Saccharomyces cerevisiae S288C: one gene and its partners. Changing the gene in region 2 together with the main gene of any one other region gives a genetic interaction. Each region holds a gene or a part of one and is shown on either strand. Other genes may lie near its edges.

Region 1 (3,093 bases), 150 kb from region 2:
TTGTGGTTATTTGACTTTGTTTATTGTCCTCTCTTGTAAGACATACATATTAATGGTCATAGTTTTCCACTCGAAGTATTTTTCCGTTGCGGATTTACGCTACTATACCCCCGCCCCCCTACACCCAGGGAGCGCTGTTTCATCAAATGAGAAAAGATGCCTTCACCTTCAATAGGTAAGGTAGATCAAGATTCAAAGGAAAACAGAAGAAAGAGGTGCGTATACAATGGAAGGAACTTATTTTAAAACATACGAAAATTACTACTCAATTACTCTCGCAAATTGTCTCAACTCTGAACGATAGCCAAAATATAAGAATACACGAAGAAAACAGTGATAGAAGTAATAGTAACAGAAAAACTATTTTATGTTATATATTAAGAAACTATTTTTTTAGAGGTTTGTATATTTTGTAGTTGGTAAAATTGAAAATTTTGTGAATTTGTATTAGACGAAGATATTATCTCTTCCCCTAAAAAAAGTATCAAAATCGAATTGCATTCATTTTCGTTAGCAAGAAAACTGGAGTGGTAAATCTTCATTTCCCCTTGTATTTCTCAGCGCTCTTATTTGGTTGGTTCACCTTGAGTTTGTTCAGCTGGAGCTTGTTGTTGCTGTTGTTGCTGTTGCTGTTGCTGTTGTTGTTGTTGTTGTTGATCTTCTTGACCAGATTCAGAAATATCAGAGGTCCATAAGGTCAAGTTGTCCCTTAATAATTGCATGATCAAAGTGCTATCCTTGTATGATTCTTCAGATAAAGTATCTAACTCAGCAATAGCATCATCAAAGGCTTGTTTGGCCAAGTGGCAAGCCTTATCAGGAGAGTTTTGAATTTCGTAATAGAAGACGGAGAAATTCAAAGCTAGACCTAAACGAATTGGGTGAGTTGGAGGCAATTCAGTTGTGGCGATTTCGGAAGCGGTTTTATAAGCCTCCAAAGAGGAGTTGGTTGCCTTTTCTCTTGCATCTCCGCTGGAAAATTCAGCTAAATAACGGTGGTAGTCACCCTTCATCTTATAGTAAAATACTTTAGACTCACCAGTAGTAGCAGAAGGGATTAAATGAGAATCTAACACAGATAAAATGTCGTCAGAGATTTTGGTCAATTCAGTTTCAATTTTAGAACGGTAAGAACGGATTAATTCAACTTGATGTTCAGATTTCTCCTTTGATTCTTCTTTTTGTTCGATCGAAGAAACTATTCTCCATGAAGCACGGCGAGCACCGATGACGTTCTTGTAAGCAACCGACAATAGATTCCGTTCTTCGACAGATAACTCTTGACCTGATGAAGCAACGGCCTTCATGTTTTCGACCATTTCTTCATAACGTTCGGCTTGTTCAGCTAATTTAGCTAGGTAAACAGAATCTTCACGAGTTTGGGACATTTTTTTTGTTGTAACGGGTACTTTTTGTTGATTTGATAATTTTTCTTTTTACTTCGTTTTGAAATTGTCAGAGTATTAACCTTCTGTCCAAGTTTTCTCGTTCTTTGCTTTTCCCCCTTAATCAATCGAAAAAAATAATGATTAAAAACCGGGAGAGGCAATTTTTTTTGAAAAAATAAGTTAGTAATTGAAATTTGATAAAAAGAACGAATGTTTAAGATAGCTCAAAAGATTTCGTAACCTTTGATGATGAATATTTGAAAAAAAAAAGACTACTGGAGGGACTTATAATAACATTTGCCCCTTTCGACCGACTTTTTCCTCGTATTTCGTGTGTGTCATTTTGCTGATCCGGGTGACACACTACTAATCATTTCGAGCAGACGACCGATTTGTCCGTTCTTCCTAAACAAAAAAGGGACGATTTCAATAGTATTCGCTGTATTATTATCTCTGGTCATATGAATACCCACGCTTGAATTACGGATTGGTCGTAACAAAAATAAGTGTTACCTCGCTGTTCTGACAGAGATAACTAAACATTTCAGAATGCAACATCACACGGGTGGACCTATGTTCTAGTTCTTGTATTAGAAGAAAGCAATCCGCTGTGCTTAAACCAATATAAGATATATATAAAAAAAAGAAAGTGGGAAAAACAAAGGAAGAGAAACTATAACACTTCACTTTCAAGGCCTGTTAAGTTGATATAATTAACATTTTCAGGAGAGTAACATTCATGTCGGTAATAATTCAAATCAGAGAAGATGAAGGTGGTTGTGGAAGGAGCTATTAATGAAACAAGTTATTGAGAGGTAAAACATACGGTTCGATTCAAATATGAATTCTTAAATTTGAAGGTGGTGTGGAAAAGAATGCAATTGATCGCGCTAATTTCAAAAGATAATATTAAGTAGAAATGAGGGAAGAAGCTGAAGCGAAAGATATATAAGTCATCAATATATATAAACAGGGACTTTGTTTATGAGCTCATGTTATAAATACAGATAAGACAGAATTGAGAAAGAGGAGAAAGAGCGATCTATGCGATTCGCCCCCGAATCTTCTCGTCACGGAAGACCGTGCATTTTCTACGGCAGCGGCTATGGTGTAATTGTCATTAACAACGGAGAGTGTTTGAGCGGCTAATTTTCGGTATTCCAAGAGACAAATTTGATTTGTACGAGGTATATGAACGATGCTCACTATATGTTGGAACTTTTGAAACATCTTTGTCTATTTCTCACAGAAATTGATGCTGTGTTACTTCGTTTCATGATTTTTCGGAAAGATACTGTGTAAGGTTATCATATATGAAGCGATACGTGCTGACCATAAAGCAGTACTTCAATAAAACGTTTTCCGAAAAAATGTAGTGTTGGAATGAAATCTTAGTGTCATTTTTTGACTAGTGTTCATGCTAATAATATTTTTTTAATGCAGTCTTTCAGTCTTCTGTTATGTAGTTTTTGTCATGATTAGAACAATTTATTCCTCGAAGACCTTATTCTTCTCATTGATGTTGCCATACACTATGTGTGCCATCTGGAGATTTTTATTAGCTCGTTATGTGAATGACTATTTACTTTACAGAACGATAATGGCGCGCTCATTGTATTAAGACTCCTATAACCTATAGAGTACTATTTTATATTATTGCTATATTATCAAATGAGGTATAAGAAGATTATACAACAATTGAAAA
Region 2 (5,223 bases):
CCAAACCTTTAAATTGTTTTAATACTGCTTTAGGATATCAATACTGCCAATTACTGTAAGCTCTGCCTAAAACAAAGTTGTGCCTAAAACAAGCCGTGTCGTAGTTTGTTTTGTTTACTTTCTAGACTGTTGTGTGGTGTCTTCTTTATAAAGGAAAAACCCTTTAAAGATCGAAGAAAACATTGATTGTACTCTATCTGAAAATCATTACCCACGAACATATCTTAGATCAGCTGCGTTTAATTGCTAATATATAGAACACACATACGACTATGGAAGCTCAAGAAGTTCTTGTACATAAGTACCAAATATTGTAAAGGTATAAAGAAGTTTTGAAATCTGGAGCGAATTTAATTGTGTACGTAAAATAACTGCTTCGCTGTCTACATTTGTCCTTGACAATGCCAGTCGATTACAGCTTACTTGGATCCTAAAGACGGCACTGATCCACACTACCTGGATTTTTATTTTCTCTTCATGTTGACTTCAAAATTCTTTCTTCTAACTGCTGTCATTTCCATTTTCTTGTGGCTTGACGTCACTCTTTTTCCAAGAGTGCAAGTACTTGCTTGCCATACCTCTTGCATTCTGCACCACTTTGTGTAAGCTTTCATTACTCGAATCCGTCAAAGACGCTTCTTTTCTAGTGGTTTGCACGCTATCAACTTTCTTGTCCTTTAGCTTACTAGCATTATTTATATGGCAGTTTTCAAATCCTTTTGCCAAAGTGTCCATTTCTGAGTGATCTTGATGGTCCATCATATTTCCCCCGGAAACAACAGACTTGATAGATTCATTTCTAGGAGAGAAATAACCCTCTATGGCAACATCACTCGCCCCCACTTCGGCTGGTGAAGGAGTATTATTTACAATTCTAAAGCTTTGTGAACTATCGGACGCTTTTGGCTGCTTTGGAAGGGCTTTTTTCTTCTGAGATGATATGTTTGCTGGTGTCACACTGCCTTTCAATACGCTTCGATTAACCAGCTGACTGTTAGCGGGTAATGGTCTTTGTTCCTCCTCGCTGCTACTCTCTTCTTCACTATCTGAATTGAATATGAAGTTCCCTGAAGAGGAATTGCGCTTCAACGGATACGGCCTGACAGCCAGTTGTGCATCTTTGTCTACATCAGTTTTACCCCCTGTAAAATTAGTAGGATTTTTTTGTTGAGGAGTTGCCGAAGAGAGTGATGGTTGTGCTAGATCGTACAAAGAATTGGTAGATCCTGATTTCCCAAGTGACAATGTTCTCCTCAGTGAAAGTCCTTCATCGTGGTTATCGTCTACTTCTTGGTCATCGTCATCTTCTTCCTCTTCGTCGTCGCTACTATTGTATTGTGAGTCTTCAATAAATTGCTGTTCGCTATCTGATGAAGAGCTGTAATTGTCGTCGTCATATAATAACATATGCGATCCATGTTGACGTGTTGTATTATTTGCTGAAGCTTTGTGTAGTTGTGGAACATGTTTTTCCTTGGATTCTACCGCATTGTTAAATTCATAGTTTGATGCATTATCATCTGCAATGGCTGTTTGTAAGTCCATTCCTTCAGGAACATCTACAATGTCACATGAATCTACTGGTAAAAAACTGGAAGTATCACCAGTGTAGACCGAGTTATAATCGTATATGTAATCATAGCCTCTGGAGGTATTGACGTTATGTGACACAGCATTACCATACCCATTAAATTCGCCATTATCAGATTCTTCGTCTGATCCATAATTCAAAGTGGTATCAGGAAGCAACTTTATTATGGGACGTACATGAGCTCTGGAAGTAGTAGATGAAGCCACAGAGGAATTATCTGTTATTGGTGAATGAACTCCAGAGTCAGACCTCCTGGAAAATCTTGCATTTATGTAAAGGCCGCCGTGTTCTTCATCATCAGAATGTGATGAAGATGATGATTGTGAGGATGTATCATCGTCGCTAGTATTTTTGTTCAAATGTTCAGTTGCGGAGTTGATAGGAATAGATTTATGCTGAATGGCTAGCAATGGAGTCCTATTGTTGTTTATTGTTGTAACGTTCGCATTGTTATTAACATCAACATATTGTTTATTTTCATCATCGCTTTCATCATCCTCCGATTGTGAAGCTGGATATCGTAGTGCCATACATTGTTCCACCCTGTCATTAAAATGTATATGTCTATTTTTAGTAGGTTTGTTAGATTTTTCACTTGGGTTTGAGGTTAATATTGATGATAATCCCATGGAATTGTTTTCATTATCTCTATTGGAGGAAGATGTTGAGGAGGGGAACCTATTATTATCAGGAGAATTTAGGTTTTGATCCAAGTTAGCCTTACGATCATTGGTACTATTTTCTAGTATGCTTTTGTTTGATTGTGCCGTTGACCTATTGTTTTGAACATGAAGCGCTGACTTTAAATGCAGGTCTTCTTCTCCCTTGTCACCGCCACCATTTGAATTTTCTCCTACAGGATTCGGTATGGTAGAATTATCTTTTTTGTCAGAGTGTTGACTCTTCAAACTAACGCTACTGTTCGATTCTTTGGGATAATGGTAGTACTGGGCGTTAACTTGAGCGGCCAGAGCATCGAAATCGTCATGGACGTTTTTGTTGCCATTGGGATCCATTATTACCGAAGCATGTTTCATTTCTGTCATGTGTTTTCTTGCCTCATTCAGTTTCCATAAAGCGTTGTCCTCTATAATTTCTGTGACGGTTCTCTTCTTCAAAATTGGTTTCGGAGCAGCTGCGATCGACTTTGAATTTTTAGTGGGCATTGAAATTCTCTTGGAATTTTCATCATCCGAACCATATCCTCTTTCTAGATCATGTTCTTCTTCACTTTGGGCATTACCTTCAGAATCTCTTACAATAGGGCCATATAGCCAAGTCACATCAGAATCTTTTGACCAATTAACCACTTCAGGTGACACTGTTTTCAAGTTGTTTCTTGCTTTTGCCCATGTTCTCCATGAGGCATTTTCTAACCTAGCAGCATTTACTAGATCAACATCTCTTTTCTTTTTCTTTAGGATGATATATTTCCAAGAATTAGAAATTTCTGATTCTTTCCATTCATGTGACAGATAGTCAACATGTCTTTCTGGCTCTACCACTACGTCATTATCATCTTGTGGAATTAAGTAGCTATCATTATCCGCCGGCGGTGGAGAAACGGAGGTTGAGTGTTCCTGATAGCCGTCATCATAATCATCATCTGAAGAATTGCTTGAAGAATTATTAGATGAGTTGTCATAATATTCATTGTCGTTATCATATAAGTCGTCTGACCTTCCTAGCAATTTCTTGGTAGGGTCAATATATTCATCAAGAAGGCCCATTGATCTTGTTCTTTTAAGGTTGAAAGTTGATTTATGGAAATCATCATCATTTTTCGCTTGAACAGCCATCGATACTGAAGGCCCCATATCTTCGTCGTTGTCGTTATCGTTACCACTAATTTTGACATCACTTTTGCTATTACTTTCATGGCTCGCATTTCTATTTACATGCTCGTTTTCAATATCTTTCTTACCGGCGAAGTAATTTGCTAGATTTGTTGACATTTTTGGATTTTTCTTATCTCGTCTTCGTCAATATGCTTGCTTTAGGATTTATAATCTTCAAGGATATTATCTTTTCCCCCTTGCTTTGACTTTTCAACGTTCGTACAGAACACCAGGTGTGTGGTTATACGTATAACAGCCAAAAGCTAGCCCTCGTAAAACTAGTATACCAATTAGTTCTCTTTCAGGAGGTGGTGTTAAAAAAATAAGAGAGATAAAGATGAGCAAATATTATATCTTGATAGAGCTGATGAACGATAAAAAGAATACTAACTCTAGTTGTGATATTTTCTCTTTCTATTTAAATTTCAGCGATAACCCTTTCTCAAGCTTTCGTTTGAAATCGCGTCTCCTATATGGTATATTCTCCTGTTTTCTCCTTTTTTATTCCTTAAAAGACCTGATAGGGGTATTCAAACAAAAGTATTTATATTTGTCTATTCTTCTTTTATGGCTTCTTGTTCTCCTGTTCTGTCTTGCAAAAGGCTTGTCACACAATCTCAGGGCTGATTCCTTCCTTCAATATCCACTGTGAGTTTAAATGCAAACAAAAATAGAGTGAATAAAAAAAGCTTTCGGCCCGGAATTGGTTAACCCGACTTACCAATATTATGTCAGAAAAGAGGCTACAGCTGAAACTAAGGTGAGGTGGTAAGAAATGCTCTCTATTGAAAAGTATGCATGAAGTGGAGGATAAGAGGTGAAGCGGCTTGGTAAAATATACCTGCCAAGTCTGAGATGAAAGCATTTGTATATAGCTATTAGTTGTATATTCGTGTGTAGCGATATACGTTTCCGGGTAATACAAACCTACATTGGTTCAATTATAAGAGCCGCGAAGACTATTATCATATTCTATACGGCATTTATTACTTATGAACATTCAAAGATGGATCCGCCGTCGCTAACGGTGTTGTTGTTAGTTCCAAAGAACAATTTGAGGCCAACTGAATTCATTATATTTGTTTGCACAATCATGGAACTAAACTGACAATGCGAAGCCTGATTTTTTTTTACCTGATTAACCATTGGGTATTCGAGCTTGTTCCAAAGTTTTTTTTCCTCCGTATTGTATATTTCTACTTCACCATTGTCAGTAATACACAGTAAAAACTTGTCAAACCAAAGCAACCTTCGAGATACTCTTTTTTTGTATTTGATACGGCTCAGGTCTTGTGTTCCCAACTGGGAATAACTAGCTAGACCTTCTGGTTGCAGAATTTCCGTAAATGGCCTCCAAACATTCAGTTTTCCATCCATGCCGACTGAACATAGCTCTGAACCCTCACTATTCCAAACAATGTCACTGCAACATCTCAGATGGGCTTTTGATTGGTTAGAGCTGAAATAGACATCGCTTTGATCGTCATTATCATCGTTATTTATAGTCTTGAACCTATTTTTATTTCTTTTCAATTCTGAATACAGTCTGTTCCTCATTCTTAGATCCCATAATTTTACCCCACCCTCCATGTCACCACAAGCAATAATCTGTTCCCTGACGGGGTTAAATTTGCAGCATAAAATTTCTGATTGCATTCGTGTTTGATTTCCCATTCCAAGCGCAGTTACCCCTGAATTCATGGTTCTCAGGTCAATTAATCTTGGATAGTAGTCTTCACTTGCCACTACAAGCAAAGAACTGTCGTCGACAACGTTATTATCAATTTGATTTAT
Region 3 (5,124 bases), on a different chromosome or scaffold from region 2:
ACCTATCTCATTGAGCCTCTTAAAGATATCGCAAACAGAAGTTGATTATTTATACAGGGAAAAGTTCCATTTTTTGAGACTCGAACCTAAACGTTGGGTTTTTCATTATTTTAATCTGGCAATAACCGTTGCGGTACTAACCATTTTTACCCGTTGTTGTTACCGTTTGGCTGAATTAGTTGTCGGTTGGGATGGCTATCTGATCACACACGAGTGGTATTTTATTATCTTAGATGCATTAATGATGGCCATCGCTACGGTCACTTTGACCATCTTCCACCCTGGATTTGCGTTTAAAGGTAGAAGCACCTCGATTCCAATCACACCGGGCCATGTTGATCCTGAAACTTTACCACATACTGACGATGTTGAAGATATCTTAGATACTTCGGATTCAAAACAATTTGATATTGAAAAGGAGGAATTCCAAGCAAGCATGAAATACCCGATTAGCACCTTCAAACAATTCATGTCCAAAATAGCTAACTTGTTTTCCTCTAAAAAGAAGGCTAAACTTTAGTGATACGTAGAATTTGAATGTCAATCTGATCGTTCATATGCATTTTTCAATTCTTACTTTTTTTCTCGAAGTTCCCGACTATGTTCTGTTTATTTTTTCTCCTATTCAAAAGAACCGGACAGCATTTTTACTTCCTTATATTTCGACATCGTAATATGTACATTTTTTAGTTCACAAGTATTTTTCCCCTTTCAATGCTTTAATCAGCCTTCAACGTCATACATACTTTCTATTTTGTTCCTGTGCCATCGTATAACTTTCCTCGTTTAGTGTTTTCGCCTCAGCTTAATGTAGATCACTGTTTTGACGTTCTTCCATTTTTGGGAACGAACTAAACTAAAAAAAAGAAAACTACAGAGTTTCCCATAGAGAACAGAAAATCCGCTATCGGCAGCTTATAGGGTCATATAATTATGGCGCACATAAGGAAAATAAATTTATTTGAATCAATCAACAGACCTATCTGTTGATATATGAAAGAGAGCAGGAGCGTTAGTTTACCTCCATAAACAGTAAAATTAAAGCAAAAAAGCGTAACTGCTGATTGAAGCCTATATCACCGGGCTAAAATCTTATATCGGTTAAGAAAGTGATTAATTTATAGATATGTTCACGAAATCTTTTCTATTCAAAGATTCACGAATTTTACTCGATTTTTATAGTATACTGAAACAAGTAGTTGTAAAATCAATTCACCAAAAAAGCTTTCCCCATCTCTGATGAAAAACTACGAAAAGTTTACTATCACATAATATCGGAAGTACGTTTTTAAGGCACTGCAATGTATTTTATAATCTTGAACATTTGGAGGTATATTACCTTACTTTCTCATCAGGTTGTATATTTGAGCGTCTCGGGAATGATAAGTCGGGTAACGAGAGTATCTAGATAAGATTTTCAGCTATGGCAATAAAAAACCAAACCTCATCGATGAACCTATTACAACATAAAGACATCCCGTAATAATTAGTGAGACAGGTTCTTCAAGGAAGTGCTACAGCCAAGTTTCGTAATATAATGGGTGTTCCGTCATTTTTCAGATGGCTATCTCGAAAATATCCAAAGATCATATCCCCAGTATTGGAAGAGCAACCTCAGATAGTCGACGGTGTCATATTGCCGTTGGATTATTCCGCCTCAAATCCAAACGGTGAGTTAGACAACTTGTATTTGGATATGAATGGTATTGTTCATCCATGTTCGCACCCAGAAAACAAACCGCCTCCAGAGACTGAAGATGAAATGCTTTTGGCAGTTTTTGAATATACCAATCGTGTGTTAAATATGGCTAGACCACGCAAGGTACTTGTTATGGCTGTTGATGGTGTTGCTCCTCGTGCCAAAATGAACCAGCAGAGAGCGCGTAGATTTAGGAGTGCTAGGGATGCTCAGATTGAAAACGAAGCCAGGGAAGAAATTATGAGACAGCGAGAAGAAGTTGGTGAGATAATCGATGATGCCGTCAGGAACAAGAAAACTTGGGATTCAAATGCGATCACTCCAGGCACCCCATTTATGGATAAGCTTGCCGCGGCCCTCCGTTATTGGACAGCATTTAAACTGGCCACTGACCCTGGTTGGAAAAACCTGCAGGTGATTATCAGTGACGCCACCGTCCCAGGTGAAGGTGAGCACAAAATAATGAATTTCATTAGGTCTCAAAGAGCTGATCCTGAATATAATCCCAACACAACGCACTGTATATACGGTTTGGATGCTGATTTAATTTTTTTGGGCCTTGCCACTCATGAACCACATTTTAAAATTCTAAGAGAAGATGTTTTTGCTCAAGACAATCGGAAAAGAAATAACTTAAAAGATACTATAAATATGACTGAAGAAGAAAAACAATTTCTCCAAAAACAAAATTCCGAACAACCTTTCTTGTGGCTGCACATAAATGTTTTGAGGGAATACTTGTCCGCTGAGTTATGGGTTCCGGGTCTTCCATTTACATTTGATTTAGAAAGGGCTATCGACGATTGGGTTTTCATGTGCTTTTTCTGTGGTAATGACTTTTTACCACATTTACCATGCTTAGATGTCAGAGAAAATAGTATTGATATTCTCTTGGATATTTGGAAGGTAGTACTACCGAAATTGAAAACGTACATGACCTGCGACGGTGTCTTGAACCTCCCTTCTGTTGAAACGCTATTGCAACACCTTGGCTCCCGTGAGGGGGATATCTTCAAAACTAGACATATTCAAGAAGCCAGAAAGAAAGAAGCTTTTGAAAGAAGGAAAGCGCAGAAAAATATGTCAAAAGGTCAAGACAGGCATCCTACAGTAGCTACGGAGCAACTGCAAATGTATGACACACAAGGAAATTTAGCAAAAGGTTCATGGAACTTGACCACCAGTGATATGGTAAGGTTGAAAAAGGAACTGATGCTTGCGAACGAGGGGAACGAAGAAGCAATCGCCAAAGTTAAGCAACAGAGTGATAAGAACAATGAACTGATGAAAGATATCAGCAAGGAAGAAATTGATGATGCTGTTAGTAAGGCTAACAAAACTAATTTTAACCTTGCAGAAGTTATGAAACAGAAAATAATAAATAAGAAACACCGTCTTGAAAAGGATAATGAAGAGGAAGAAATTGCTAAGGATAGCAAAAAAGTTAAGACAGAGAAAGCGGAATCAGAGTGCGATCTCGATGCAGAGATCAAAGATGAGATTGTGGCTGACGTAAACGACAGGGAAAACTCTGAAACTACAGAAGTATCAAGAGATTCACCAGTCCACAGCACAGTGAATGTCAGCGAAGGTCCCAAAAATGGGGTCTTTGATACAGATGAATTTGTCAAACTATTCGAACCTGGTTACCACGAAAGATATTACACAGCTAAATTTCACGTTACTCCTCAAGATATTGAACAGTTAAGAAAAGATATGGTAAAATGCTATATCGAAGGGGTCGCCTGGGTACTAATGTATTACTATCAAGGTTGTGCCTCTTGGAATTGGTTCTATCCGTACCATTATGCTCCTCTGGCAACAGATTTCCATGGGTTTTCTCACTTGGAGATAAAGTTCGAAGAAGGTACTCCATTTTTACCTTACGAACAATTGATGAGTGTTTTACCAGCTGCATCTGGCCATGCTTTGCCAAAAATTTTCCGGTCTTTGATGTCTGAACCTGACTCTGAAATCATTGATTTTTATCCTGAAGAATTTCCCATAGATATGAATGGTAAGAAGATGTCCTGGCAAGGCATAGCGTTGCTACCATTCATCGATCAGGATAGACTGTTAACAGCTGTTCGTGCACAATATCCTTTACTTTCTGATGCTGAGAGGGCAAGAAATATTCGCGGAGAACCTGTTTTATTAATAAGTAACAAGAATGCTAATTATGAGAGGTTTTCGAAGAAATTATACTCAAAGGAAAACAACAACAACAATGTTGTTGTGAAGTTTCAACACTTCAAGAGTGGTTTAAGTGGTATTGTATCAAAGGACGTTGAAGGTTTCGAATTAAATGGGAAAATTGTATGTCCGATTCAAGGTGGGTCACTGCCAAATTTATCTACCACCTTGATTTTAAAGATGTCCTATAGATTAATTCCGTTGCCATCGAGAAATAAGTCTATTATACTGAACGGGTTCATTCCGTCAGAACCGGTACTAACAGCATATGACCTTGATTCCATAATGTACAAGTATAATAACCAAAATTACTCCCGTCGCTGGAACTTTGGTAATGATTTGAAGCAAAATATTGTTCCAGTAGGACCAAAGGGTATTACTCAGTACAAACCAAGAACTGGTGGCTATCGAGCATTCTTTTATTTTGCTGAGCTCAGTAGAAATAATGTCCAACCCGCCCACAACTATGGTAGGAATAGCTACAACAGTCAACCCGGCTTCAACAATAGCAGGTATGATGGTGGAAACAATAATTACAGACAAAATTCAAATTACAGGAACAATAACTATTCCGGAAATAGAAATAGTGGACAGTACAGCGGCAACAGCTACTCTCGGAATAACAAGCAAAGTCGGTATGACAATTCAAGAGCAAATAGGCGTTAGAACTACTCGTGCGCATTTTATTTTATGGTAAATTTAGGTTTTCGCAAATTTATAAAATCTTCATACAATTAAAAAAAAGCTCTTTTAAGATAATAGTGTCTGCTCTTACAAACGACGAACAGTAATATTTTATAACAAAAAATGGAACATATTAAGTTAAGAGAAAATCATGCTGAAGCATGAATATATGAATATACGTCCTCTTGTAAAATAGCGAAATCCTTGTAAGCCAATAGACCGAACTCTATTTTGATTTATACGCTTCGTGTATTTTTTCTTCCAGATCCAGGAGAAAAAGCATGGTCTGTTCTTCTTTTTTGAAAAGAGAGGCAGTCCACGGCGAAAGTTTCGAATACGGCACTACCTTTTTTTTCTAAGTTCCTAAACTTAAAATCAAATTTGGTCTTTGGTCTGTTATCATCCAGGGATGAATGCAACATATTGGGAAGTTCATGCTATACAACGCCAACCCCTTCGCTCAAGTCACGAAAGCACATCTTACACTTCCTCCTTGGCCAATATGCAAGCGTCCTCTTCAAAAAATCTTGCAACAAACAATCGGGTAA

Evidence for each region.
Region 1: mutations in REG1 (region 2) and BMH2 are lethal when combined (synthetic lethality), as found in Saccharomyces cerevisiae (one study listed by BioGRID).
Region 3: of REG1 (region 2) and RAT1, a mutation in one rescues a mutant of the other (synthetic rescue), as found in Saccharomyces cerevisiae (one study listed by BioGRID).

Annotation. Positions count from the first base shown.
Region 1 is NC_001136.10:651,902-654,994, reverse strand, and holds BMH2 (14-3-3 family protein BMH2), read right to left. Parts: upstream 1,389-3,093; coding exon 567-1,388; downstream 1-566.
Region 2 is NC_001136.10:497,334-502,556, forward strand, and holds REG1 (protein phosphatase regulator REG1), read right to left. Parts: upstream 3,547-5,223; coding exon 502-3,546; downstream 1-501. Other genes in the region: YDR029W (uncharacterized protein), read left to right, coding at 3,767-4,081; RAD28 (Rad28p), read right to left, coding at 4,420-5,223. UniProt on the Saccharomyces cerevisiae protein: Involved in RNA processing and negative regulation of glucose repression. Regulates the level of two antigens, P43 and P70. Binds to protein phosphatase type 1. Functions with REG2 and SNF1 protein kinase to regulate growth.
Region 3 is NC_001147.6:418,064-423,187, reverse strand, and holds RAT1 (ssRNA exonuclease RAT1), read left to right. Parts: upstream 1-1,537; coding exon 1,538-4,558; downstream 4,559-5,124. Other genes in the region: phospholipid-translocating ATPase RSB1, read left to right, coding at 1-520. UniProt on the Saccharomyces cerevisiae protein: Possesses 5'->3' exoribonuclease activity. Required for the processing of nuclear mRNA, rRNA and small nucleolar RNA (snoRNA) precursors.